Linked DNA regions of Kluyveromyces lactis. The protein of the gene in region 7 interacts with the protein of the main gene of each other region in a pairwise test. Links are inferred from orthologs where the notes say so. Each region holds a gene or a part of one and is shown on either strand. Other genes may lie near its edges. The genes, in order: UTP15, UTP10, UTP5, UTP4, MPP10, NAN1 and UTP8.

Region 1 (3,554 bases), on a different chromosome or scaffold from region 7:
GAGGGAACTGTCGGCAATGAAACTGAGAGCAATTATGTGCGGAAAGTTAAAACCATAAAGAAAAGAACAAAAGCGAAGATGAGACCAGCAGCATTAAACGAGAAGTCGACCAACATTCCAGACAAAAATGTTCATGAACAGCTAGCAAAGTTGAAGGAACGTGAGTACAATAAAATGCTGGGTAAAGAAGTGGAAGAAAGTGAGTCTGACTCTGAACAACAATCCAATCCACCCGTAAAGAAGAAGCAACGTAAGAGTAAATACAACCTTGTTAGCAACAACTTCAAGCGTTTGAATCTTCCAACAAAGGCAGGAAGAAACAGAGCCAGTAAATGGAGAGGAAGAAGGTGATTTCTTCAAAGTCAGAACGTTAAAAACAAAGAAACAGACGTAACGAACGGGATGATACAGTTGTTGCAGTCTATGTACTATAAATGTAAATAAATATAATCTTTTACACGCATTCCTTTTTGTTATAGATCAGTGTAGAAAGGATTTTATCAGTTTGTTAACAATTGGAGCATACCCTCTATCTTTTGTGCTTCTTTTGCTTTGCGGATCTCTTCCCTTACTCTTTTCTTTAGAGTGATTACCATCTCTTCAAGTACTGGGGACTTCTCCAGTACACTACCGTAGAGTTCAATTACAACCGCAATCCAGTCTGCAACAATTGGTGCACTTCTAACATCTTCTATTCCCTTCAAGCACCAGTTGAGTAGTGGTTCTAGAGAACTTTCGTCTCTACCGTATAATGCAACCTTGATTTTACCTCTTTTCCTTAGTTCTTGTAATACCGTTAAAGTTAATTCTTTAGCCATACCGGGGATAAATGCAGAATCTAATGCGTCAGACCATTTGAATTGGTTGATATGCCTTTCGAATTGACGCAACTTACGCTGAGGATTTGGCTTATCGTTGTGTATAATATGCTCTTGATCACCTCTGTATTCGGACCCTCTCATCATTCTCTGGAAATTGTTGGATTTCGCAGACTTCTCTTGCTGTTGTAATGGTAAATCCTCCAAATCAGAGACATCAGCGAGGTTAATCTTTTTGGACTTCTTCTTCGTCTTGATGGCTAGAATTCCTGAGGATAAACCTGCAACGAAATGTTTATTACCTTGCGCATCGCCTGGTGAGACTGCACAACTTAGCACAGCGTTGCTAAACTTCCAGCCAAACTTGAATTGGAAGTTCTCCAACGGGGAAAAGATCTTAACATGACCATCAAGCGAGGATGCAACTAGTACGGAACTCATTGGTGATTCTTCTCCCATATTTGTGTAATTCAAACAGGTGACCGTCTTTGCGAAATTTTGACGTTCACAAAGGGCTCTATCGCTAGTCAAGTCCCATACTTTGAACCCGTTACCACCACACGATGCAAGCTGAGTAGGAGATATGGCTGTGATATCTTCCACAGGAAGACCGTGATCCAAAGTTGTCTGTGGTTTATCTGATTTCGTTCTAATATCGTACAATCTAACTACTCCATCGTACGACCCTGTAGCGACCATATGTGGAGCATTTGGCACAAAGCAGACTGATCTAACATAATCAGATGCTCCAGTTAACTGTAAAGTGGGTTCATAAGCATGAGAAACATCCCATAGTCTCACTACTCTATCGTCGTTTGCCGTCACCAAAGTCTTGTTATCCTGATCGTGAAACTTCGTCACATGCGTAGGATGCGACGAAGCTTGTATAGAAAGCAACAAAGTACGTGGATTATAACTATCATAAACGGACACTAACCCAGTAGCGTCACCTGCTACTAAAAGTTTACCGTCTTGACGGAAAGTGGCCGAATGCACCACATCTTTAAACCTAGAAAACGTCTTGATCACTTGTCTTGTCCTTGACGAGAAGACCTGTACCCTAGTAGAAGAGGTAACTGCAAAATCATGTGGATGCTGGGGATTGAAGGCAATATGAGTCACTGCATTGTGCTCTTTAACAAGCTGAGTAGATGAATAAGACCTCCAGTACCTCTGCTCTGGGGTGGTCTGCTTTGGTAACACAGGAGCCTTTACCGGCGTCACTCTAGGTCTCACAGACGACATTTTCTTCACAATATTTCTACCAATCTGATCGCCTGAATCACCTCTATCACTTAACAGTAGTCTGACGATACCAAACCGACTGATATAACTCGCAAATTACAGGGAAATCTATTTTATCAACCATGCGATGAGCTAAGGCTTCAATCATTTTTTTTTTCCAAAATCTGGTTTCTTTTCTTTGAAGACTCGAAGAATCTCGTTGATTGTGATTTTTCAGAGAAGAATAACCGTTCACTGTACTTTACAAGCAGATAAAGGGCCTTTAAGGCCCTTTATCTGCTTTTAACCTGGTTTCCCAGATTTTCTTGATTCCCAGGTATTCAGCAATACCACTTTCATTATACTAACTGGTATTTAGGATATCTTTTCTTTGTATTTCTGCATCCCAGTAGTTATTATTTCGTCTATTTACATTCCATATGTATGGAATTTATTTATACTCACCAGTTTATCAAGAAACTAAACCATGAGAACAGGACACGTTTGAGTCAGGAAGAGGTCTTTCTGGTGCGTTTACAGAGTGTTCCAAAAGTCAATTGATCTAGTATCTCGCGATAATATGGTTTCGATTAATTTAGCAAAGGTTTTTGCACCTCTCCCTTCTACAAAGAGAAACTTTACGACACATTTATCATATGATCCAAAGACTGACAGTTTAGCTTATGGTAGCGGTAGATCTGCCATCATTAGATCTTTAGATGGTGAACATGTCGTTCAATTCAATGGCCATGGTACCAGTAATGTCACTGTTGTAAAATTTTCTCCTATCCAGGGGTCTCAATATGTTGCTTCAGGAGATGATTCCGGTAGAGTTATCGTTTGGTCTTGGAATCAGGACGATAAGTCTGGAGAAATTGAGTACAACGTTAAGTCGGAACTACATGTGCTCGCTGGTCCTGTCGCTGATATATCCTGGGATTTTGAGGGTAAAAGATTGGCTGTTGTTGGTGAAGGTCGTGATAGGTTTGGTGCGTTTGTCTCTTGGGACTCGGGCAACTCGTTAGGTGAAGTCTCGGGTCACTCTCAAAGAGTCAATGCAGTTCATTTCAAGCAAAGCAGACCAATGAGAGCTTTCAGTGTCAGTGATGATGGTTCTGTTGTGTTTTACCAGGGTCCACCTTTCAAGTTTGCAAGCAGTGATAGAACGCATCACGGCCAAGGTAAATTCGTTAGAGACGTCAAGTTCTCTCCAGGTGCAGGGAAATATGCTGTGTCTGTCGGTAGCGATCGTAAGATATGTTGCTTTGATGGTAAGACTGGTGAATTTATCAAATACATTGAGTCTGAAAAGGCTCCAATTGGCGGTGGTTTGTTTGCTGTCGCATGGTTAGACGATGGTGAAGAGTCTTCTAGAGTTGTTACCGTGGGTGCTGATTGCACTGCAAGGTTGTGGGATGTGTCGTTGGATGATCCATTCCAACAGTCTTGGAAATTAGGTGCAGATGTTTCGAATCAAATTGTCGGTGTTGTTGTCACTAAGGATAACTCCAT
Region 2 (3,946 bases), on a different chromosome or scaffold from region 7:
CAGCGACTAGTATATCTGCTCTAATAGAGGGTAATTTCATACTTCCGTTGTTAGATTTTAGAGAAGAAATAGTGTTCAAAAGACAAGAGGACAGAGTTTCCTGAGCGTAAAGTACAGGCAAACCACCATCATGGTCTAAAGTTTCCAAGTCGGACAAAAGGTTGAATAAGGCATTCAATAGATTTTCGTTACTCTTTACCTTCAATTTATCCAAAGTCTCCAGAATAATAGTCATTTTCTTTAGGTGGGCTTCGGCAATTTGAGAAATATCTTGTTTCTGTAGGGCGGACTTGTTAACCGTAGACGATCTTCTTCTTCTACGTTTAGTCAAATCTGTTTGATCTTCGCTGTTTATGGTATTACTTTTCAACACAGAGACAAAAATATCTGCAGTTAATGGAAGACTTTGAAGGGTTTCTAGACCATCATATGATAGTTCTTTGTCAACTGAGGAGTCTATTATACTCTGAACAATTTTTAATTGGTTTGGGAATTTCAATGTTGGATACAAAGATAAAATTCTGTCTGCCATGATATTCGAAAGTTGTTCATATTCTGATTCCAAACAGTTAATCAAAAAATCTATCGCGAAACTGTTTTTTTCTTTTGGTGCAACAATGGCACATACCGCAGTTTCGAAGTCTTTGAAATTGGTTTTATTTTTGATGCACTTCGTTTCCCAGGAACTTCTTTCCGTGATGTATGTGGCCATAAATTGTTCGAACACCTTTGAATATGTAAAAGCATATTGTGGCACAGCGGTCAAGAGCTTTAACATTATAGTCTTCGAATAGGCGAGAGGAAGATGCAGTGCCTGGTTGCACCAAAACAGCATATATACCATGTCATTTTTGGATGGAATGACGAGGGATGAAATATCTGTACTTTCAACGATGTAATCGCTTAAAAAGTTGGTCAACCAAAACTTGCTATCTTTCGGACTTAACATTGGCACCTTTAAATTCTCTCCGTAGAGTACGTTAGATAGGAAATACTTTGCTGTGAAAGGTCTCTTGGCTATCTGTTGTAGAACCTTTTTCGTGTTGGAACGAACAGATCTAGAAATATCCATCAATGCTGTCACTAGAATAGGTACCAAAGAGAAAAGATCCGTTTGCTCATCTATACCATTGATGAATTTGCTTAACTGTGTTAGTGAAATCAATCTGAGAGCAACAGGCGAACCAGGGGATACGATGATTCTGAGCACAAACGTTATCCTGCTCTCTAAAGTAGTGAAGAAGGAGGATAAAAATAGACCTGGTTGATATCCTTTACTTACAGCTTCCACAAATAATGACAACAGCTTGACAAACTTTTCATCTTTAACAAGAAGCATAGACTCCGCTTTAGTGGAGATGAACTCTGAGTTTTTGGTCATGAAATCTTTAAATGGAACAGCTGAACCATTCGCGGTTGATGCTTTAGCATCATCTAGAACTTTAATGATATCTTCACCAGATTGTTCCGCACTGTTCTTGACGGAAAATAATGAAGTTGTCAATCTTATTTCGAAAACTTCTCCGGTCAGGTTTAGTGCTTGAAGACATTTCAAAACTAGTCCCTCGTTAATGGAAATGAAGTATTCAAAAACATCGATTAATTGTGACTTGTCCTCTAGAACTTCAGATAAATGTATCAAATCAGTGATGATAAATCTAACTTCGTATTTTTCCAACTTAATCTTCCTTAAGATTTTGACAATTTGACTCAATTTATCATGATCATATCTGATGACAGACCTAATGTATGCAGTGAAAAATTTATCTGAGGAATATTTGTTTTCATTACTCAGGAACTGTAGTAGATATTCGAATGGGAAAGAATTATCAACGAGTTTATAGATCTTGACCGGTAATTGATCCACATTACCTACACCTTTCAAGGTTTGGAAAAGTTTTGAGATTGTGACGAGAGCTTTTTTTCTAGCATCGTCTTCCTTTAAATTGGCCAAGATAGTTTCCGTAGCCGCAATGATAATGCTTTTGTTCAAAGGCAATGCGGTGGCAAGTACCGCGAGCATAGTATGAGCAGCCATTTGACAATCGCTTGAATCCGATGCCAAAAGTTTTGCGGAAATTTCCAAAATCAATGGGACCAATTTATTTAACTTATCTTCATCGTTCGCATTGAAAGCGATCACGTTAATGAAACAACATGTGGTAAATAGCAGTTGATTCGTATAGGTAACTTTTTGCTTGATAATCTTGGACAGATAATTTGAATAAAGCTTCAAGAAGTCCATATCGTTAAACAATTTGATCAACGTCAAATCGGTTGGATTCTTATCGTTTCTGACAAAATTGGTAAATGGGTTGAACAAAGGTGGTAGCTTAACGATATTGAGGATCCTTTTGAACACCGGCGTTTGGTATTGGTTCAAAGTAGATAGAAGAAGCATTTCGGCGTTATGGATATGAATTTGGAACCTACGAATCAACCATTCCGTAGCATGCAAAGCTGGAGTTAGATGCCATTTCGGCGAAATCAACATCAAATACGCATTAACTGCGTTATCCAAATCTCTAATCTGATCCTTTGTTTGAACGTTTCTATCAATGGTCACGGAAGATGCACTGAATAAGGAATTAGTGAAAACTTTGAACCTCAAGTCCAAACTCACCAAAGTATGAAACGATTCCAACGCTGTATCGTATATATACTCATAGTCCTGAGTAGCAGCAGTCTTCGGATTGTAAACCAAAGACGCAGAATGTAACTTTTGTCTTCTCTTTCTATCAAGAGCAACAGTAGCGTTATTCTGCGCTACCTGCGCTAATTGATCACGTAAAGATGACATTCTATATCGTCTCTGCCGTTGCCTGGAGTACTAGCAAGTCGAACCTGATCAAAAATCTATCGCCAGGAGATGATTGCAAAGCCAACGATTTGAACCTCATCTCATCTCATCTCATCGCTACTTTTTTTTTCTTTCACTCTTTAAAATTTTCGATTTGTTCATGCTGCGGTGAAAAGAAATTCATTTATGGTCACGTGTATGAAAATGGAGTGATACCATAAACTTGGGTCAAGTCTCCCCGTAGCTCAATATGCAAGCTACTGGTCAGTTTCCACCTGCTTTCGGATCTATTGAAGTACATACAGACTTAAGAGTTGTTTCAATACATCATGTGCCGTGCAAGGTCACACTACAAGTAATGGCTAGTTTCTGAGGAATTTCGGATCTCAGCCAACCGTATAAGCATGTTTGGCATAAACAAGGCTCATAGCAGCTATCTACTTAGCAATGCCTCAACGTTTCCATTTGAGGGTGTGTGTGAGTTGTGTGCGTTGGGCCTGCGTTCAGACTGGCTTTTCAGCAAAGGACCGGCTCATATAAGAACAAAAGAAAAACACACCTGGCTGGAGCGATGTGGTTATGCGGCGATGTCTCTGCGATTAAACTTAGATCCGAGATCTAGGCGGATGGTTCGTCCGAACCAATCTCAATGCAAAGGCTTGGGTGAACTGCAAAAATGTTTTCTTCTGGTAAACAAACTACTTTTTCGGAAGTTTGAGGCTGAGCACCTTCCTTACCTTAGTTTGCATTATGTAATTTACCGCATTATAAATTTTGTACCGTTTATTTTATATATAGGCAACGACAGGTTTAAGGAACCTTCTATCAAGATTGAATAGCGATGAGCTTAGGGGTTACAACTTGCGGAGAGATTGTTTATCCAAATAACGACATCAGTTATTGAGCCATTAATAATTCAGTCATGAAGTGTAGTACTTTGTTGTTATCTTTGGCTTTAGCTTTAGATTCCGTTTCTGCACGCGAAGGGTGCGATAAGAAATTGAGAGAGTCCTCTCATAAGGAGAAAGAGTTCAACCTAACTCGTGAATACGCTGCTGAGGTTGCTAGAGGTGTTGTTAAGTATGGTGACTTGGTTCATGTTTCTACTTTGAAGGATGGAAAGACTCCGGTGACTTTCCCAGAATA
Region 3 (3,672 bases), on a different chromosome or scaffold from region 7:
CTAGCATCATGATGAACTCTACCCCACATTCGATGATTATTTCACGAGCCTCCTTACTGAATGTTAGATCGGAATCAAGTACTTCAGATATGATTTTTTGAACGGTAGCCTTCGGTAATGTAACGTCGTCAACCTCTCCAACCATGTTTTCAATTGCTTATGGTTGAAATTCTAACGGTCTTTATTTTCTAAGATAAAGCTTGTGATTATTATTTTTTGGTTTTGCAAGCTTCCCTGAAAAAACTATAATACTCTCGAACTTAATTCTGTGCTGCAAGTCAATATACCAAACAAGCACTTCACGTAGTAATCAATTAGATAATTGGATGAACTTGAGATGATAACAGATTGTAAACAAATTTAACAATGTCAACTTTTGTTTTTAAATGCCTGGTATTACACTTTTTTGTCCTCCTTGAACTCTAGATCTGAATTATGTATAATAATATATACTAAAAAAATACTCATCGCTATTTCATTCACTATGCAAAAAAATGATATGGCTCGCCAAATTGGCACATTTTTTGATGCTTTATATATAAAACTACGAATCAAACTAAGAAGAAAAGTTGAAAATAAAAAAAAAAAAATTAAAACAACAACACACATCGCACACATCGCATCACCTATGCAAACAAGGGACAATAAGGGAATTCTGATTGGAAAATATATATATATAGATGTATATTCAAATTAGCAACAGGACAGAGACATATAAGTGTTGACCTTGGTTGTTAGGCAGGAGCTCTTTCCTTACTTGACGTAAATTCTTTATGTTGTGTTAATCACCCAGCTTCCTCTCATCACAGTAGAAATGCTAACTAGTGTTTGTTAGGAGATATGAAGTGTATAACTTGAAAGCAGGAAGGCAATGTTTGGAGGTTGTAAAATAAGATTGCAAAAGCTGAGTTAACGAACTCAGCTCAGTGGATGTATCCTGAAGAAAAGCCTTAAATTGGGGACCACTGGCTATATGCTCCAAATCACGTGAACAATATATGCTAACTTCTTATTACCCGGCACTTGTTTTTTGTAAGTAAATCTCACTTTTCTTTCTCCTTTCCAAGCTAAAGCTTTTCATTTGAAACTTTTCATAGCTCATCTCATCGCATCTCATCTGAGCTCATCGCACAGTATTTACTTTTGTGTACTTACTTCTTTCCTAAAGTGTTTCGATAAAACGTCTTGGGATATTAATTGAACAATCACCGGCTTTCGTACTGTTTAAGCTAGAGGTCTACACTCTACCACACGAATAACAATAGCAAGCTTAACGATGGCAACAGCTTCGCCAGTCGTATTATCACAATATGATCCAACCGGACAATATTTTGCATACGTTTCCACCGCTTTGGATAAACAGCGGGTATCAGTGGAGCCAACAACTGCCTCCAAATCTGGTTTAGTGAACGATAATTTTCTCTATTTGGAGGGGAAAGACGTCTGCTGTACATGCATACAATGGATTACTTACAATGACACACCATTGGTAGTTCTGGGTCTAAACCTAGGGGAAATATGGCTATACTCTCCTTTATCGAATGAAATAGTGGCGAAACTGAACACAGGATCAAGCTTAGCAGTTTTAGATTTCCAACTCTTTTCAAGCAAGGACAAGGCCTGGTGTTTGACTGGTGATGATACTATTTTTTTATTCGACATGGTATCACAGAATGTATCAAAAAAATTCAAAATTGATGAATGTAAGGACTTAAAAAAGCTATGCATAGTTGATAGCAATCGTATTCTTGTCGCTTCTCATCAAATTTACTTAATCGATGTCATTTCAAAGAAATTGTTGTTACAATACCCTGGCCATATTTCACCTGTGTCTTTCCTTCAAGTGACCACAGATGGAACAGCATTTTTGAGTGCATCTCAGGACGATAGATTTTTGAATATTTATGATTTGGACACTACCAAGACTAAGTCCGTCCTAGTAGCGGACTCGAACGTTATATCAATTTCGATATCTGAGGATTGGTCTCACGTGTCGGCAACAACAGAAGATGGGGATATTGCTATCTTTGAAGAACCTTTGGTATCAATCAATTCAGGGAATAAGAGACGTTCTGGTAAGATATCCAAACAAAAAAACAAAACTATAACTTTATTAAGGTCTAATTCCGCAACCAGATTGCCTATTATCAAAAGTTTTATCAACAAAGATCTAATTAATTTTTCGTGGTTAGAAAATGCAACCACACCTTACTTTGATCAAGTTCAATTAGGTAACCTAACGGATTCAGTCACCACTTTATCCAAGCCATTGCCATCTGCTAAATCTACACAAACCAGGAACAACCAAAACAGTGATATTTCTTCGGCAAAGCTCTACAAAGAGGGTAATGCAACGGTAACATCTGGTGATAACTTTAAGCATGTGGAATCCATTGTCCAAAGTTTAGATGATATAGAAGGAGAAGGGATTTCAGAAACTTTACAGGATAGACTAAATATAATTTCACCACCATCGAGAAAACCAAAGGAAAGGAGAAGAGCCAACGCTGGTACTTCTTCTGTTGTATTAGCTCAAGCATTAAAATCAAATGATCATGCTCTATTGGAAACAGTCCTTAACACACGCGACGAAAAAGTCATTCAAGCAACCATAACCAGGTTATCCCCCCAACTTGCTACGATTCTCTTGGAAAGACTCGCTGAACGTATCGCCAGACAAACTCATAGACAAGGTGCTTTGAACGTGTGGGTGAAATGGTGCCTAATAATTCACGGGGGTTACTTAGTTACCATTCCAAATTTGATAAATTCATTGTCATCGCTACATGCTACTTTGAGGAAACGAGCAGATCTCTTACCAACACTCATGGCATTGGATACACGTATTACACGTTCATTAGATGAATTGAACAGTAAGAGAGCCGTACAATACGGCAAGGATCAACTTGATTCTGAACTTGTCGCTCCATATCAGGATGACGAGTCGAACCAAAATGAAGATGAAGAGGAAGAAGTGGAATATATAGAAGAGCTAGACGATGCTGGATTAATAGACGATGGTGAAGACAGTGCAGAGTACTCTGAAGATGATGACGAACACAGCGAGGCTGATAATCAGGAACTTACATACACTGAAGAAGGATTTGACGACGATGACGAAATGAGGGTCGACGTTGAAGAAGGATACTCTGACGAAGAAGTTCAGCATTAGCGTACATAAAAGAAAAAATATAAAACGCTAACGCATTGAAAAATGCAGCTGCTATGTATCGACTTAGACCTGACATTCTTCCTCCATGCAGCTTTAAGCTTGATTGATCATTATGGCCGGGTAATGGAAACATCGGAGTTTGACTCTGTCTGTAAATAATCTAATTAAAAAAAACAATTGTTTGCTAGTGATGCTCTCAGAATTCAATTTAATCCAGAACCAAACAAGTTAAAAATTTAAAGCGTGGAACATGGAAAATGTAGAAGCGTTTAATGAGGTGTTCTGTGTTGGTTTAGAACGTGCATTTTTGGTAGACGGTCTATCCGGCTCGGAAATCCCGTTCTCGTAAACAATTTTAGAATTTCTCTACTGGTTGCAAGCACGTAGGTTCGTCTCGCGGTACGGGAGTTGATCTTGTCCATGGGATCAGTATCTATCGTTTCGTTTTGTTTTTTTTTATATCTTTGACAGATAAAGTATAAATGTGTCGTGTATTCTTT
Region 4 (4,007 bases), on a different chromosome or scaffold from region 7:
CTTGATATTGTCCATCTCGTTGTTCGTGTGCTCTCTTTCTACTGTCACTACGACAATCTCTTATCTTTTGACATTACTGCCTGTCAAACTACAATTATTAGCGTTATCTGCAATGCAGAGTACCAATGGCTCTGAGCTTCCTACGAGCAATAAGGATGCATTCTATACCAAGAAACCCCCTTCGATCATCAAAAACCTCGCTGTGTGTGAGTTGACAGGTGTGTACATCCTTGCCACTATCTTGATGATTCGCTCCAATTTACCATATGATGTCTCAAAACAGGTCAATCAACTCTTGGGTGAGAAATTCACTATTCCTGATGTTGTAATCGACGTCTGGTCTGATAAAATGTTCGCTTGCAGTTCGCTCTTGACATTCATTGGTATTAAGGTAGCAGAAAGAACACTACACAGATGATATGCGGCGGAATGATGACCCTATGTTAAAAATCAATTTCGCGATGAAGATCGAGTTTATAATAATGTACAGAAATTATAAATTAGAATACTAACTTTTCTAATTCAAATGCAGGAGGTTGGGAGATCAAGAAGTTTGGTCTTTCCACAATGATTAATTGGTCACTTGCGATCTTTCCAGCGAATAATAGAGGTCTATACTTATCGGTATAGAAAAACGCCTTATCAGATCTCTTCTTGGAGGTGACATCTTGCGCTCTCTGAGTTTTTAAGAGATAATCTTCCTTAACTTCGAGTTCTTCATCGTCTTCATCATCCTCATCGACGTCTGCCTGTAGACCGTCAGTGGAAATAGTTAATCCGTCACGGTCACGCTTCTTTTGCTTCTTTCTTTTGCTAACTGGCAAGTCTAATGACATGTTGATGTTAACCAACCAGTTAGATCCCCAGAACCATACCTTATGCTCATCCATTTCATCTAAGAATATTCCTGTGCATCTCTCTTTCAAGGAAGTAAATTGCCTTGGGAGGTTTTCATGATTGGCTTTGAACCAGTCAGTGAGTAGTTGATCCTTCTCGGATTCCAAATTGAACTCGTATATTTTATTTTCTGATGTCACTACTACTACAGTCTCTCTTGGTGTGATGCACAGTGCAGTGATGAAGTTGTTCATGCGAATTAAAGCTTTACTACTGTTTGTTGTCAAATCTATTAAGTCTAGAGCACCGGTACCTCTAGACGCAACAGCGTAACGTTCATTTGCATCTAAATGGTTCACTGCATTCAAATATGATAGTTTATTGCTGGATTTCGTTGAGTTCGCTTCAGGTAACTCAATAGTTACGGTTTTTTCGTCGTCATCCTCTTCAAGGTCAATTCTAACTATTTCATCAGATTGTGAACACATTATTAACCTAGAATCATCAATGAACTTAGCAAATTTGCAACCAGTTCTCAACAAAAACTCATTGTCCAACTTTGTTACTTTCAATTTGTTGTCTGTTGGTTGTAAATGGAAAACTTTGGTAGTATTTAGTCTTCCCACTAATAAAACTTGTCCGTCAGTTGATAGTGCACAGGTTTGGATGTTTTGTTCATCCTTCAAAACCAATTTACTAACTAATTTGTAGTTCTTAGGCTCATTGACGTCTTCGCCAATATACCATATCTTCACGATATTATCCTGCCACATCACCAATAGTCTTTGTTGTTTGTTGACCAGGATGCTCTTATGGAATGGGGTAACTAGTGGCATCTTTCTATAATTTCCTTCAGCGAAAGAGGACATTGAGCACATGACAAGAGACTTTTCAATACCACCAGACACTAGGAAGTCGGATCCCATACATTGATAAGAGGACATAGATCTAACATCATTGGAATGGAATAATCTGTTTGAAGTACTGATCCATTTCATGCTCTTTCCTGTATCGATGTAAGAGAATTGGAAAATCTTTCTATCAACACCACTAGTGAACAATTGTGAATTATCCAGATCAGTAGCCAGACATAGAACATCGGCATCATGAACCTTGAAAGATTGAGTCAATGTTGCGTAGTTTAAGTCCCAGAATTTGACCGACCCAGTAGAATCACCAGACACAATTTGGTTCTGTTTAGCTAGATACAACACAGACCATACGAGTGTAGATTCTTTCTTCGATTTATCCACTTTCATAGTATGTAATAGTCTTCCCTTGTTTTCGTCTTGCTCCTTAGTATACCATATTCTAATCCTTCCATCAGAACAACCAGCGACCAAAGATTCATCATTGGCTGTCCATGTCAACGATAAGACACGAGATTCTTGCCTTGTAAGTATGCTCTCATGCTCAAGAACACCTTTACCACCACTGATGTTAATAAGTACTACACTGCCGTTATCACATCCGACCGCTAGCTTATTCATATCGTTGCTCATTGCAATGGACCAAATCACACCAGAGTTACAATCGTAATTTACTAACGGCAACCCGGTTGTCAAATCCCATTCTGTAACTACAGTGGAGCCACCGATCGAAAATAGTCTCAAAGGCTCTCCACGAATACTGCACCAGGAAAGACCTTCAATGGATCTTCCTTCACCTCCCAAGATCACGAACTCTTGTACCCAATCATCTCTTGGATTCCAGATCTCAATATTACCATTGGATCTACCAATAGCCAGTCTTAGCTCTTGCGGTGCCGCTTTATCAGTACTTTTGTGTGAAAATGCAAGAGCCGTTATATTACCAGGTGTAAACTGCACAAACCTGGATCGATGCACTACCTGTTTCTTCCCAGTATCAGTCATGATCAAATGTGTTCTATAAATTGAGGACCTTAAACCTGTATCAGAGAACAAAAGCTAATGTATTAGAATGAAACAAAAGATTGACAAACTGTAGGCTGATGTCAATCAAAAAACTTCACTGACTAGATAGAAATATACGACTTTGTTATCCGATGAGATGAGCTTCTGTTCTAAGCTTGTGTGCTCTTAACGCTGAAATTTTTCAAAAAGAAACTAGTTTAGCTTCAACACCGTACAGTATGATCATATCACGTGATATATTAGATCTATTGGGAAAACGAGATTTGTTTACAATTGGATCTTCTCTTCACATAAACAAACTAATAAACAAAGAGGAAAAGGAAAGTGGAAGAAACATCGGCGGCAACCTCATAGCAGCCTTTCCCTGGTGTATACTCGTGGTATTATTGACCAAAAGGGTGCAATTGTTTGATATGGATGTTCAGGATGGAGAATCTCCTACAAATCGTCGTGTTCTGAATTCTATAGCGGAGGTTTTCCAGGTGGCGCAGAAGAGTTATGCTGGTCACAGACGTCATGTAGCTGTCTTATACAGGATTTATTTGAAATGTGTGGAGCAAGAGATATCAGATGTGTTTCATTATTGGTTTATCAAAATGACTGTCAAAATCTTGCCGCTGAAGAAACAGGAAATCGTGGGGGATCGCATTGTTCGGTTGATTTCAGGGTTCATCGCAAATATAGAGTCGAATCTTAACAAGATGAGAACCGAAGATGGTAATGAGCAAAATGTGAGGAATTTGGAAGTACATTTCGGAGGATTTATTGATGGATTTGTGAGGAATCTGCTTCGAGGAGTGGAATCGAAAAATAAAAACGTACGATACAGAGTAATGCAACTTTTGGCCGCAACTATGGATAATATGGGAGAAATTGATGAGGAATTGTACGAGTTGATTATGTGGGTTTTGAAGCATAGGGTGTATGACAAGGAACCTCATGTTAGGATACAGGCGATATTTTGTTTGACAAAATTTCAAAACGATAACGTATCGATGATTAATGAATCAGAAACCGGAGTAAATTTCCAACTCGATGAAGCTACACAGAGTTTAATGCATATCATTAGGAATGATCCAAGTCCAGAAGTTCGGAGGGCAGCAATGTTGAATATTGTACGTTCGAAAGCGACCCAGAATGTTATCTTGGAACGGGTACGAGATGTTAATTTCATCAATAGAAGATTGGTGTTTACAAGAGTACTAAAGAGTTTGGGGAAGCATACGTTCGATGAGGTGGATTCTGATATTTTAGAGAAACTGATGACCTGGGGGT
Region 5 (3,479 bases), on a different chromosome or scaffold from region 7:
ATGAACTCGTCAAACCATCAGTTAACGTATCAACAAAAGCAGAGTTATTGTTGAAAGCCCTTGATCATGTCTTTTTCAGATCAAAATCTGGCACTAAACAAAGAGCTGCTGCGTTCACAAAGAGAATTTACATGGCTTTGCTGCACACTCCAGAAAAAACATCAATTGCACTGCTGAAGTTTTTGGATAAACTAACTACCAAATATCCAGAAGTACTGGGTTTATACTCTACAGACGATAGAATTGGAAATGGGGAGTTCCGCATCGACACAGACTTACCAAGTAGAAGTAATGCAGAAGCAGCAACTATATGGGAAAATAGCCTTCTTGTCAAGCATTACAGTCCTTCTGTTGTAAAAGGTGTAAGATCATTATTCCATAAATCTCAAGAACATAAATAGTTTGGGGGATAAAAAGATAATTAAGAATTCTCTTATTTACCACCTTCATTTCAATGCAATTGCATTAATTATAGTAATATATACTTACTGTAACAGTGTCTATAACTTGAAATTGATGTTACCAGATGCATTATCCTTCTTTATATTACCCTTAACATCAGTTTTGGCACCCTTTTTATCGATAACGGTTATGTTCTTGGATTTAGTCAAGGTATTAAGAACATCATCCGTCTTACTCTTCTTTCTAGGTTGTTCGGCTCTTTTCGCAGATAGCTTCGATCTCTTTCTCTTAGCAGCTCTACGGAGTCTGTTTTTATCCTCTCTGGACAGTTCATCTCTGGACATCACCACACCATTCTTCAAAGTTATTTCATTAGAGTTCTCTGATTTACCAACTTTGTAGATTTCCTGAGGAGCTAATGTGGAACCACTTGACATTGTTAGTGGTTGTGCATCTTCCATAGAAATAGCGGCGGTTTGCACTCTTACTTCAAGATCTTTCTTTATCGGCTTAGGTATGAAGTGGGCTGACGATAATGCATCTAGTTTGTAAACCAAATCTTTATATAGCTCTGAAATTTCATCGTGACTTTTCTGTAATTCTTCTGATATTTCAGTATCCTCGGTAACACCTTTGAAATCATCTTCATAAATTTCAGCTAGTGATTTTGATGACTTTACATCACTTAGTTCGAATCTTGGTTTATTATTGTAGCCTGAAATATCGCTGATAACCCTCCTCTGTAGATCGTTAAAATCTTCTTCCTTGATCCTTCTACGGATCATATTCTCGAGAGTTTCTGTTACCTCAGCTGTTATAACTGGCACAGGTTTGGCAGTTCTTTCGAACTCAAGATCTTCCGTTAACAAGGCATCTTCTGGCCTATCGCGAGCTTTTACTTCACCTTTTAACGCCCATTTCTTCTCAGCAACAGCTTCCTTTTCGAGGGATTCTATTTGTCTTTTTAGCTCAAGTTGTTGACGTTCAAAGGTAGATAATGGTTGTTCAGCAGTTTCTTCATCTGATCCCTGAAAATCATCGTCTTCGTCAGCAAAAAGATCTAACTTAGCTTCCTCCATTGCATCATCATACTCGCTTTCGTCAAAGGATTCATCCTCTTCGGCCTCTGCTTTCTTTGAAGGTCCTGGCCGCCTGTCCTGGGAAGATTTTTTATTAGATGGCTTATCAAAGAAATCGTCGTAATATAGAGCTTCTTCATCTTCCTCCGATGGAACATCTGCGAAATAATCAACTTCTTCGTCATCCTCATCTTCTTCATCTGCATCTTGGCTTCTATTCTCAGCCTCAAGTGTTTGTCTATTGAATTCATCTAGATTGAAAAATTGATCGTTTACACCAAACTTGTCTTCGATCGCTTGTGGACTTTCTTGTGCTTCTACAAATTGATCATCAGGTTCCGAATCACTTTCGTTTTCCAATTTATCTTCTTCCTTCTCATGTAATTCTAAAGGTTCTGGTTCTGAGAACTGTTGTTCTTCATCTAAAACGAGCTCTTCATTTTCTGCTTCTTCCTCCTCCTCTTCAATAGCAGACTCTTCAGAAACTGGAGCTTCGTCTGCAGACATTTCATTGGAATTTTCAACATTAGAGGCATCATCTTCGTCTCCGCTGCTTTCCTCGCTCATATCATTCTCATTATCAACCTTCAGTTCGGCGATTTTTTCCATGATATCACCTTGAACATTATCTAAAATGATTTTTGACTGCCACCATACCTGGTTAGCATCTAGCCCATCAACCACTATCTCATCTAATGTTGTCTTTGAATTTCCATTGTTTTTATTCAGATTGATGACTTCGTCAAAGTAAGTCTTCACTGCCGATAGTGGTTCCTTGGACTCCAGAGCATCCTGGGAAAGAAGTCCAACAGGATTAGTTTTCAAAATTTCCAAAAACTGACTCATGTTGTGTTATGTGTGGGTCAGTGAAACGTTACCTATTTACTGGTGTAGCTGTAGTGGATGTATCGATACGATCAAGCTGCTACTATAGACGCATATTTCGTACATGCTGAGTGATGCGATGAGATGAGTTTTCATCAATTTTTCAGGTATCCAAAAATTTGAAAAAGAAAAAAATGATGGGAACTGTCGCCAATGCGGGTAAGAAGAGAGATAATAGACACAGTTGTGAGGCATTGGTTGGGTGATGAATACTAGACAGAAGTACATATGGGTGAAAAGTCATTATATGAAGTGTGATTCCCTTAGTTTGGGTGCTAAAATTTTGCATAAAGACACGTAGATGCATATACAAGAATGAGGTGCTGGCAAATTCAACAGCATTTGTAGGTAATTCATGAGGTGAAGGAGGCGTATACTCCAAGAGTGGATAATACTGCACTAATTAATATCGTAATATTACACGCTATCAATTCCCAAGATTTAATGGTTTTGTAGCAAATTCTTTTGTAGAACAAACATGGCAGAATGAAACAAATCATGAAACAAAGTGCAGCACCCAAGAATGCAATTATTTTGTCAAATTCAGGGAATAAAATAGCAATAATCACGAACATAACATTCACCATGATTCTGTTAAATATTCTGGTTGCCTTTGCGAAAAAAACCTTCGATGCTGGTTTAGTTTCATCGATGTGCACTACGTTAAACATTGAATCAAAGATGGAGACAATCGGTCTTGCATTAAGTGGTGTTTTGGCAAGTGGAATCAGTGAAAGAAGAGTTGAAATTAGGCCATAAACAAAAGGCGGGTATCCTGGAGTCAATAACACACTTCTTGTCACTTCATTCATAACAAGATTACCGAACATTAAAAATCCAACGACAGCAATTCCGATATCAGTAACAATGGTGATGCTATAAGTGGTCTTCAAACAACGAGTAAACTTCTCCGGATGCCTCATATCACTCTTTAAGTTGGGAAAGACTGCGTGACCTCCCCAGCATGCACTCAATAACCCTAAGGAAAGACAAAACTCCTTGAATGAATTGGGCCACATCGATGTGGCTTCTGGTTGCAATAATGACCCTGGTGAATATTGTTTTAGCAACCCACAGAAAACTACTAACAATGCAGTTCCAATAGTCGAGATA
Region 6 (4,107 bases), on a different chromosome or scaffold from region 7:
TGGAACTCGCTTTGGAGAAAATAGATTCTATTCTTATGTTCAGAAAATCCTATAAGGGACTGTCGAAAAGAAACCTATAATGATCACTGTATCCTATACAACCGCTTCTGGAACACTTTATAATGACTACTATTTACGAGATCACTGTATATAAACAAAACTTAATCTTAATATGTTTCTACATGGAAATATGCCAACATCTTATGTAAGGCTTCCCGTCTTTAAATAATTAATGAACTTTTTAAAATCCCAACATACCAAATTTATAAAATCAGATGAATATGCTTTATTTAGGTGATGTGAATAGTATACAATGCAATAGTACATGAAATAGAATTGTGTGCATGCGTGCATGCGTGCTTCTTGTGCTTTCTTTATTTGTCGTTTCAGCAGCTGAACAGAAGTTACAGCAAACAGATGGTAATTGAAACTCAGTGGTTTTGTCTATTCTGGAGTCCATACGTCGAACGTAATAAAATGCAAACAAAGAACGCAAGAAAACAACGCGGTAGTAACCAGTGGCAGAAAAGTGAAGACGTAATTAAAGAGAATGGACCATTTTAGTGTAGAAGGGGGTATCGCAATTGATAGTAAAAGCAGACCACCTAATCTCTTTTTTCCAAAGGATTGTATCTCAAGAACTTTTCAATCAAATCGACATGTGTTAGAATCATTCTTCTGCAACAGTATCTCTTCAACCCCAATCTAGTCAAAGCAGTACCTTCTTCTAGTTCTTCTTCTTGCAACATATTCAAATAGGCTTCCCATTTGTCACCGACAACTTTCCCACAGGAAAAACATCTAACTGGAACAATCATCTCTCTTTAAAAGTATATCGAAACGAAAAAAAACCTAGAAACCTGGAAACCTGGAATAAACCCTCCGAGATTTATAAACTATCACAATAAGTGGATCAAAACCTGCTCGACCTTTTGAAAACTCATATAATTTGCATCACAAATCATCATATTCAACCAGCTTTCTTAATTCTTAATACTTTAATTTTTCATCGGTTCCAAATTTTTCATTAGATGCCCTTATATGTCACTTCTCACGATAGAGATGACCATCGTTTCTTTTCAAATCCTCGTCCTGCACAGGTTTCAACCATAAAATTTTCCAAAACTACAATTCTACATACGGTGAAAAAAAAGAATCCACATTAGACAAATAATTGAAAAGATGCGATGAGCTTATGAGTTATATGATGAGCTTGTCTTTTGAGAAGCAGAGAAAGAAAATACCAAGAGTAGGATCAGCCAGAGGCACCAACAAGAGTATCAGCTGTTATCGAATCCACGTTAAATATGCCAAACTCTTCGTTACCAATGTACAAGCTTTCTGTTGTTTCTGGTGGGAAGGTCGCTCTTCCTAGGATTCACAATAGATCCGCGACTAGAAAATCGGTGAGTTGTCTTACTCAGGACGGGTCAGCATACATTGTCCCTTTCAACAATCAGTTCAAAGTGTATTCAATTGATACTAGACAATGTATTAAGACATTGAAATTTGCTAATAATGATATTTTGACTTCGATACTCGATGAGCCTTCTGTAGAGGTGGTGCATATCGAGCCTATTATTGACGATGAGATGGATAAGATCAGAGTGTATACCAACACTGCGAAAGTAGTTATATTGAAGTATAAGGGTAAATTAGCCACGGAGATTAAAACTTGGTCTTTGAATATTACTGGCGAGTTATTTGCAGTTCTTGGCGATGGGAAGAAATTACTTACAGTTCAGAAAACAGGGAACTCTTACAGATATGATCTATATGAAAACGTTGAAGAGAAAGAGGAAGAATCTGAGGTTAAACACCTTGAAACTTTTGAGAATGTTTTACTTTCAACTTGGTCTAATAACAATAACTACCTTGCCCTAGTTTATTTGAACCAGGAAACTAAAAAACATGTGCTGATCAAATCTATGGTCGACAACAGTTCAGTTCAGAACTTCCCAGTACCATCTACAACATCTAGTACCACCATAAATTCCCATTTTGTCACTGCTCTTGCGTTAGATAACGACGGCCAGCAGTTGGCTATTGGATTTGCATCTGGTGTTATAAATTTGATCAATCTACCTGATCTGTCTCATAGATTATTGAAATGGCATATCGACTCAGTCCTATCCTTAGGATTTACAAATGACAACGCATATTTACTGTCTGGTGGTTGGGAGAAAGTTTTAAGTTTTTGGCAGTTGGCTACTAATATGCAACACTTTTTGCCAAGATTGAACGGTGTCGTCCTGGAATGCTTACCAGTAAGTGATAAGTACTATTCATTAGTGTTACAATTCGCTGAAAATAATACAAATTCTGACTACCAGATTACATTGCTCAATGCCACAGATCTATCATCAATACTTGCCATCAACGGCCCATTCCCGGTATTTGATACCATTACAAACGATGTTGAACAGCCAATTTCTACAGTTAACTCGAAAAGTTCTGTGTCGTCATCCAATATGCTACAATCGAAGAAAAAGCAAAAGAGAAAATTACTAAAGAGGAAAAAGCATGATTTCACCGCACCTTTGTCTGTACATCCATCTACAAAACATCTCTACTTACCACACGTTTCATCTTTGCAGTCTTACGATCTATACAAAAATGAACAGGTGAGCTACCAGTATGTTACATCCAGTGTCAACAATGCAGCAGGTAAGGTTAGACTTGAGTTAACTATCCAGGACCCTGTTGTACAGGATGTGAAATTCACCCTAGATGGTTTTTGGATGATCACATATGAAGTTGAGTACCCACCTGAGGGTTTATTGTCTTCTAAGGAGTTGTCACACGTTCTAAAATTCTGGAAATTAGATGACAACAAAGAATGGGAGTTGAAAACTAAAGTGTTGAACCCACATGGTAACAACGTCCCAGTGACAAACATAACTACAGCTCCAAATAGCATAAATTCTTCCCAGGGTTGTTTGACTGCTGATAACAATGGTGGATTAAAATACTGGAAGTTTGATTCGAAACAGAATAACTGGTGTTTGAACAGATTATTACTACCCAACTACAACCATTTTTCGAATTCGGTGCAACTAGCATGGTCCTTAGATGGCTCCTTAATCTTCCACGCTTTTGAAGATAAGCTATCTACCATTGAATTCAGCGAATTCAAACTACTGGAAGATGAAAATGAGTTACCAATCGAACGCACTTTGGATACTCCAATTCAAGCTCTTACACTTGTCAACGATTCGACATTGATAATCTCCACGAAGACTTCCTTGCATTCGTTCAATTTATTGACACAATCCACCATCAGCAGTTTCGATATCTACCCTTATGTGAACGGAGTTTACAAACCGGGCCATTTTGCCAGACTACTTGCATGCGATGCGAACACTGGAAGAATCGCACTTGCCATTAACCAACAAGCAGCAGGAACTGATGGCAATCCAACCTTACAACATAAAGCCAACATTTTAATTTTCAATTCCGATCTAACAGAAAAGTTGGGCAGCTTCGAACACAACGAATACATATCGTCGTTGGTATGGAATTACGCGGCAGATTTTATTTTCATGGATATCCAGTCTCGTCTTGGAATCGTGAGCACCACAACCAGCTCGGAAATGGTGGACGAATCGAATAATGATCAAGCATTTGAATCTCTACATCCCGATTCATTCAGCGAAAAACTACAAGAGCTTACGAGAAAGAAAGGTTTGGCAAACACAGATGCTGAGGATGGTGTAGATGAAGACATAGATCTAGAATTCATTAACGGGAACTTGTCACAAAACAAGACCATTAACATGAACAGTTTTACAAGTTTGTTTGAAAACATCGACAACGTTCAAATGAATACCTTGTTTGACCGCGTCATGAAGATTATCACATAGATGTTTTATACATTGACTCGAACATACGTATGTGTATATAATACAGAGAATATTTAAACAACCCTCCATTTAATTATTTATTCTGTCACTGACAGAAAAAATACTCGATGACAGATTAAATATGGAAAATAAAATAATCTAATAACTGTAAAATAAAACAAAAAACTAATGCGACAGAGATCAAAAAGAAGGAAATCACCTCCAAAGCAAATTAAGGCAGATGTTATGAAACATAGTTCCACCA
Region 7 (3,839 bases):
AGATGGAGCATATGGTGATATCCAACGACATTTTCCACTGTGCTGTAGGTGAACACACAAGTAGATGGAATAAGACGGAATATGGGTACGTTTTACTTGATGCGTTGGCGAAAAATACTACGGGCATTGCCAAGGAAGAACTATTGCAGAAATGTTTTGAACTTTTATCAAACCATACGTTTAATGAGGGCGAAGATGTGGATTCTGTGACGACTTCCAGTATTTATGTACCGCCTTTAAGAATTACTAAAGGTGCAGACGCTATTGGAACTTCATTGCCAATAGGCGATTACTATGGAACTAGATCCCAGATTGTCATACTTGTCGACAAAGATAACAGAGTTACGTACGAGGAGCATGTGATTTATGAAAGTGATGAGGATTGTGAAACATACTCTTTCATGGATCCAAAAGAGGTAATTCAGTTCCAGTTCAATATGGAAAGCTGATGAAATCATTTTACGAAAAGTTCTAATGTTTATGATTATACTACACACTTATTAGCATTCTAAATAGTCCACTGTGTAAGCTGAAATAGGTTGTGTAGAAGACGAATTTGTTGATGAATTAGATTTATTGTTAACAACCGATGAATGCTTGGTGTAATGCTCTGCCAAATGCAAAAGTTCTATGTTTTGTGACACTACAGAAACCTGCGCATCGACAAAAGAGGAAAGTTTCTCTAAATATTCATCGTCTAACGCAAACAAACCGATGGAATCTATTATTAAACTCATAAGTTGGAAGATTTGTGGCTTATTAAGTTTCAAGTCCGAATCTGCCTTATTCGAGTTCAAAATCATATCCAAAAAGTTTGTGATATCCATCTTCTCAATTTTTCTTATACCTGCTTTGATTGATTCTTTCTTGTAATCTTGTAGCACTCTTAGCGTAATATCAAAACAGAGCTCTGCATTCGTTATATTGAAAAGCTCGGTTAACAAATCGTCAAGTGGAACATTCGGACAAGTAACAATAGCTTGTTTGAAAAGTCTTGGGTTATTTTTCAACTTGGTTAATAAGCCCTTAGCGTGAACCGGTGGGAATAAAGGGTGTGTTAGAAGGTATGTCAATGCTTTTGGATATTCATCCTTGAAATTTAGAAACAAGCAATCGATTATTTGAGTGAGTAAATCAGAATCATTTAAAAATCTGTCATTGTCTGTATAATATTCCTTGTCTAAGGAAAGCATCTTAAAAAATATAGAATCAAAGTTCTCTATTTTTTTACAGATATGGAGTTGTTTTATAATGCGTTCATAGTCTGGAGATGGCAATTCCACATCGTCGTCCTCATTGCTTTCTTCAAAGAGTTTCTGTAGTTTCTGCTTTTGTTTAACCATGAACCCTTTACCCATCGCATCTTTTAAGGTACCGGTACCAACATCAATGTTAATAACATCCAAGTAACTCGTAGGGTTAGCACCGTTTTTAGTTGTAACATCTAATGCTATAGTTTTTCTATTGTCTTCAGAGTTTTCTTGAACAACTGCAGTAGAGAGTAGTTGAATAGCTTTGATGTTCTGTAAATCCTTTTGGAATAGTATAGCATTGTATAACAAATCCACAAGATATATGGTATTATCAGCAGTCAACAATACACGGTTTGAAGAAACTGGTTTGATGGATACAACTGCATCCTTGGAAATGAAAGGTAGCTGAATGCTAGTTTGTAGTTGCAAATGTGGTAACTGATAGATTGATAATTCATTTGAGTTCTTTAAAACATATAATTTCCCGAACTCAAAACACAACTTTGCATTCTCTAAAGTGTAATTTTCTAGTATGATAGAATTTAGTTCAATACATGAGACGGACTCACTCCTAACTTGGAAAAGTTTGTAACAGATTTTCTCATCACTTAGTTGGCATAACACGAAAAAGAAATCGTTTCCCTGCCCATCTTGGAAGAATTGAACAAATCTGATATCATCATAAGATATATCAATAGTATTTGAAAGTTTCAATTCATAATCAAATGTTTGAATCAGTCCATTCCTTAAGATAACGAGAACTTTCTCTGCTTTAGAATAGATCTTAATGCTAACGACTTCAGATTTTAGTTTATATTTGAACTGAGATGTGATTTCAGCATTTGAAGATGACACGGCATCTTGAATCATCGGCTTAGTAGCCAAGTGTAAATGTGATACCTTTCTAGCTTCCAATCCGTAACACCAGACTTCTGTATTGGCTGCATCTTCTACCACGTCACATGCAGTAACAATGTTCGTAGAGGGGATTGGCAAGTTAAAAACCAGCTTCGGGGTTGGATTAATCAAGTATTGTGATATACTGGAACCTGATATACCAATATTCACTTTATTGGCTGATGGTGAAAGATTATCAACAACTTGTAAGTAGTCTGTTTGATTCGCATAATTATTCAATGATGGAATCTTAGGTAGAGCAGAGAGCCTAAAAGGCTGTGAGATGGATGCCATTTTCTCAATATCTTTCGATAAATAATATCAAAGCAAACTGTATTGAACACAGGATATTTGATACTTCACCTCGTCCTTTCAAGAGCAGCGGTTGAGTGTATCTTTGCACTTACAGCTCATCGCATCTCATCGCATCTCATCTCTTCTTCTGAGTACTTCAAATTTTTCAAACTTTACTTTTGGGAGTCAGTCCGGGTAATATATAGTGTCGAAATGCAAACAGAAACAAGATGAGATGCGATGAATATACTCAGATATCTTCCAGGTGACAGAAAGTGTAGCCCTTATTTGAATGCCACAAATCACATTGTAAACTGGACACAGGCTGATAATAAATATTCGAAGATGAATGATCTAATGGAAATTGAAAAAAAGTTGAAGAGTTTGCGGAAACAAAAAGTGGAAGTAAGTATAAGGAATAAGAAGGCCATAATAGCTGAAGAGAAGAAAAACTCTGAAAGAAGAGTATACAGTATGGCTGACGATGGCGAAGATAAAGCTAGAAGTAACAAAAGCGAACCAGAAGATCCGATAAAATTGGCAAACTACTCAATACGCGAATATGAAAAATGGGAAGCTAAGACACAGAATTCAAGACATAATAAAAGCGTGATGGGGGACTTCCAAACTATAGCAAAGAACAGCTACAAGAAGGAAGTAGATGCGCTTCCGAAGGATATATCACATCCGTTGAAAGGTGGAATAACTGAGGATGGGAAGGTTCAAGTAGAAGATAATCCTGAACTAGTAGAAAAAATGGTGAATGATTTGAACGAACGATCAAAGAAAAGGTATATGGTACGGAAACAAAAACTAGATAAACAAAATAAGATCAATTTGGATGATGGATTTATTAATGACAAGAATAAACGGTTTAATGCAAAATTGAATAGCGAGTTCAAATAGGCATGGGAAAATAGGTATATTGGGCATTTACATATGAGATATTTACGATTGATTATGAATAATTATTTTATTTTAACGATATATAGAGGTGGATTTCTTCATTTGTCTTCAGAATCTAGTGAGTTAAGGACTTCTAGATCTTCTTCTAAGCTCTTGACACATTGCTTGTAATGGATCAATTGGAAATTATGGAACAACTTAACCAAAGAAATGATCTCAGAACTATCTGTAAGTTCTCCCAAGAATTCCACAGTTTCTGAGGTTGCAGACACGAACTGATCTTCTAATCGTTCGAAAAGCTTAGAATCAGGATCTTCTTCTGTCTTTGCCATATCAACTGGTTCCTCATTGGTTTTCTTTTCGGGGGTTTCAGGGGTTTCAGTTGCGACCTTTTTTTCAGCTTCCTCAGAGGATGCTACAACCTCTTTTTCCTGCAGCTTCAATTTAATTTCATGACGTAAAGTATCAAAGTTCAATCTTGCATCTTGA

What was found.
Region 1: the proteins of UTP8 (region 7) and UTP15 interact in binary tests that used the Saccharomyces cerevisiae proteins (3 or more experiments, as listed by UniProt). The link is inferred for Kluyveromyces lactis from reciprocal best matches to the Saccharomyces cerevisiae genes UTP8 and UTP15.
Region 2: the proteins of UTP8 (region 7) and UTP10 interact in binary tests that used the Saccharomyces cerevisiae proteins (3 or more experiments, as listed by UniProt). The link is inferred for Kluyveromyces lactis from reciprocal best matches to the Saccharomyces cerevisiae genes UTP8 and UTP10.
Region 3: the proteins of UTP8 (region 7) and UTP5 interact in binary tests that used the Saccharomyces cerevisiae proteins (3 or more experiments, as listed by UniProt). The link is inferred for Kluyveromyces lactis from reciprocal best matches to the Saccharomyces cerevisiae genes UTP8 and UTP5.
Region 4: the proteins of UTP8 (region 7) and UTP4 interact in binary tests that used the Saccharomyces cerevisiae proteins (3 or more experiments, as listed by UniProt). The link is inferred for Kluyveromyces lactis from reciprocal best matches to the Saccharomyces cerevisiae genes UTP8 and UTP4.
Region 5: the proteins of UTP8 (region 7) and MPP10 interact in binary tests that used the Saccharomyces cerevisiae proteins (3 or more experiments, as listed by UniProt). The link is inferred for Kluyveromyces lactis from reciprocal best matches to the Saccharomyces cerevisiae genes UTP8 and MPP10.
Region 6: the proteins of UTP8 (region 7) and NAN1 interact in binary tests that used the Saccharomyces cerevisiae proteins (3 or more experiments, as listed by UniProt). The link is inferred for Kluyveromyces lactis from reciprocal best matches to the Saccharomyces cerevisiae genes UTP8 and NAN1.

What each region holds. Positions count from the first base shown.
Region 1 is NC_006042.1:1,275,041-1,278,594, reverse strand, and holds UTP15 (snoRNA-binding rRNA-processing protein UTP15), read right to left. Parts: upstream 2,064-3,554; coding exon 501-2,063; downstream 1-500. Other genes in the region: SLD2 (Sld2p), read left to right, coding at 1-351; AIP1 (Aip1p), read left to right, coding at 2,623-3,554. UniProt on the Saccharomyces cerevisiae protein: Involved in nucleolar processing of pre-18S ribosomal RNA. Required for optimal pre-ribosomal RNA transcription by RNA polymerase I together with a subset of U3 proteins required for transcription (t-UTPs).
Region 2 is NC_006042.1:1,974,057-1,978,002, reverse strand, and holds the start of UTP10 (snoRNA-binding rRNA-processing protein UTP10), read right to left. Parts: upstream 2,801-3,946; coding exon 1-2,800. Other genes in the region: KLLA0_F21164g (uncharacterized protein), read left to right, coding at 3,723-3,946. UniProt on the Saccharomyces cerevisiae protein: Involved in nucleolar processing of pre-18S ribosomal RNA. Required for optimal pre-ribosomal RNA transcription by RNA polymerase I together with a subset of U3 proteins required for transcription (t-UTPs). Involved in ribosome biosynthesis.
Region 3 is NC_006039.1:579,073-582,744, forward strand, and holds UTP5 (Utp5p), read left to right. Parts: upstream 1-1,276; coding exon 1,277-3,172; downstream 3,173-3,672. Other genes in the region: negative cofactor 2 transcription regulator complex subunit NCB2, read right to left, coding at 1-145. UniProt on the Saccharomyces cerevisiae protein: Involved in nucleolar processing of pre-18S ribosomal RNA. Required for optimal pre-ribosomal RNA transcription by RNA polymerase I together with a subset of U3 proteins required for transcription (t-UTPs).
Region 4 is NC_006040.1:1,131,567-1,135,573, forward strand, and holds UTP4 (small subunit rRNA maturation protein UTP4), read right to left. Parts: upstream 2,712-4,007; coding exon 501-2,711; downstream 1-500. Other genes in the region: KLLA0_D13200g (uncharacterized protein), read left to right, coding at 1-418; condensin subunit YCG1, read left to right, coding at 2,951-4,007. UniProt on the Saccharomyces cerevisiae protein: Involved in nucleolar processing of pre-18S ribosomal RNA. Required for optimal pre-ribosomal RNA transcription by RNA polymerase I together with a subset of U3 proteins required for transcription (t-UTPs).
Region 5 is NC_006040.1:821,799-825,277, forward strand, and holds MPP10 (rRNA-processing protein MPP10), read right to left. Parts: upstream 2,328-3,479; coding exon 501-2,327; downstream 1-500. Other genes in the region: NOC3 (Noc3p), read left to right, coding at 1-401; AVT1 (Avt1p), read right to left, coding at 2,720-3,479. UniProt on the Saccharomyces cerevisiae protein: Involved in nucleolar processing of pre-18S ribosomal RNA. Required for the early cleavages at sites A0, A1 and A2 during 18S ribosomal pre-RNA processing.
Region 6 is NC_006040.1:574,045-578,151, reverse strand, and holds NAN1 (Nan1p), read left to right. Parts: upstream 1-1,307; coding exon 1,308-3,863; downstream 3,864-4,107. Other genes in the region: dynamin-related GTPase MGM1, read left to right, coding at 1-80; DNA-directed RNA polymerase core subunit RPB10, read right to left, coding at 606-818. UniProt on the Saccharomyces cerevisiae protein: Involved in nucleolar processing of pre-18S ribosomal RNA. Required for optimal pre-ribosomal RNA transcription by RNA polymerase I together with a subset of U3 proteins required for transcription (t-UTPs).
Region 7 is NC_006041.1:412,788-416,626, reverse strand, and holds UTP8 (Utp8p), read right to left. Parts: upstream 2,445-3,839; coding exon 501-2,444; downstream 1-500. Other genes in the region: KLLA0_E04687g (uncharacterized protein), read left to right, coding at 1-449; SYF2 (Syf2p), read left to right, coding at 2,685-3,350; KLLA0_E04621g (uncharacterized protein), read right to left, coding at 3,449-3,839. UniProt on the Saccharomyces cerevisiae protein: Involved in nucleolar processing of pre-18S ribosomal RNA. Also has a role in nuclear tRNA export. It acts between the steps of tRNA maturation/aminoacylation and its subsequent translocation out of the nucleus.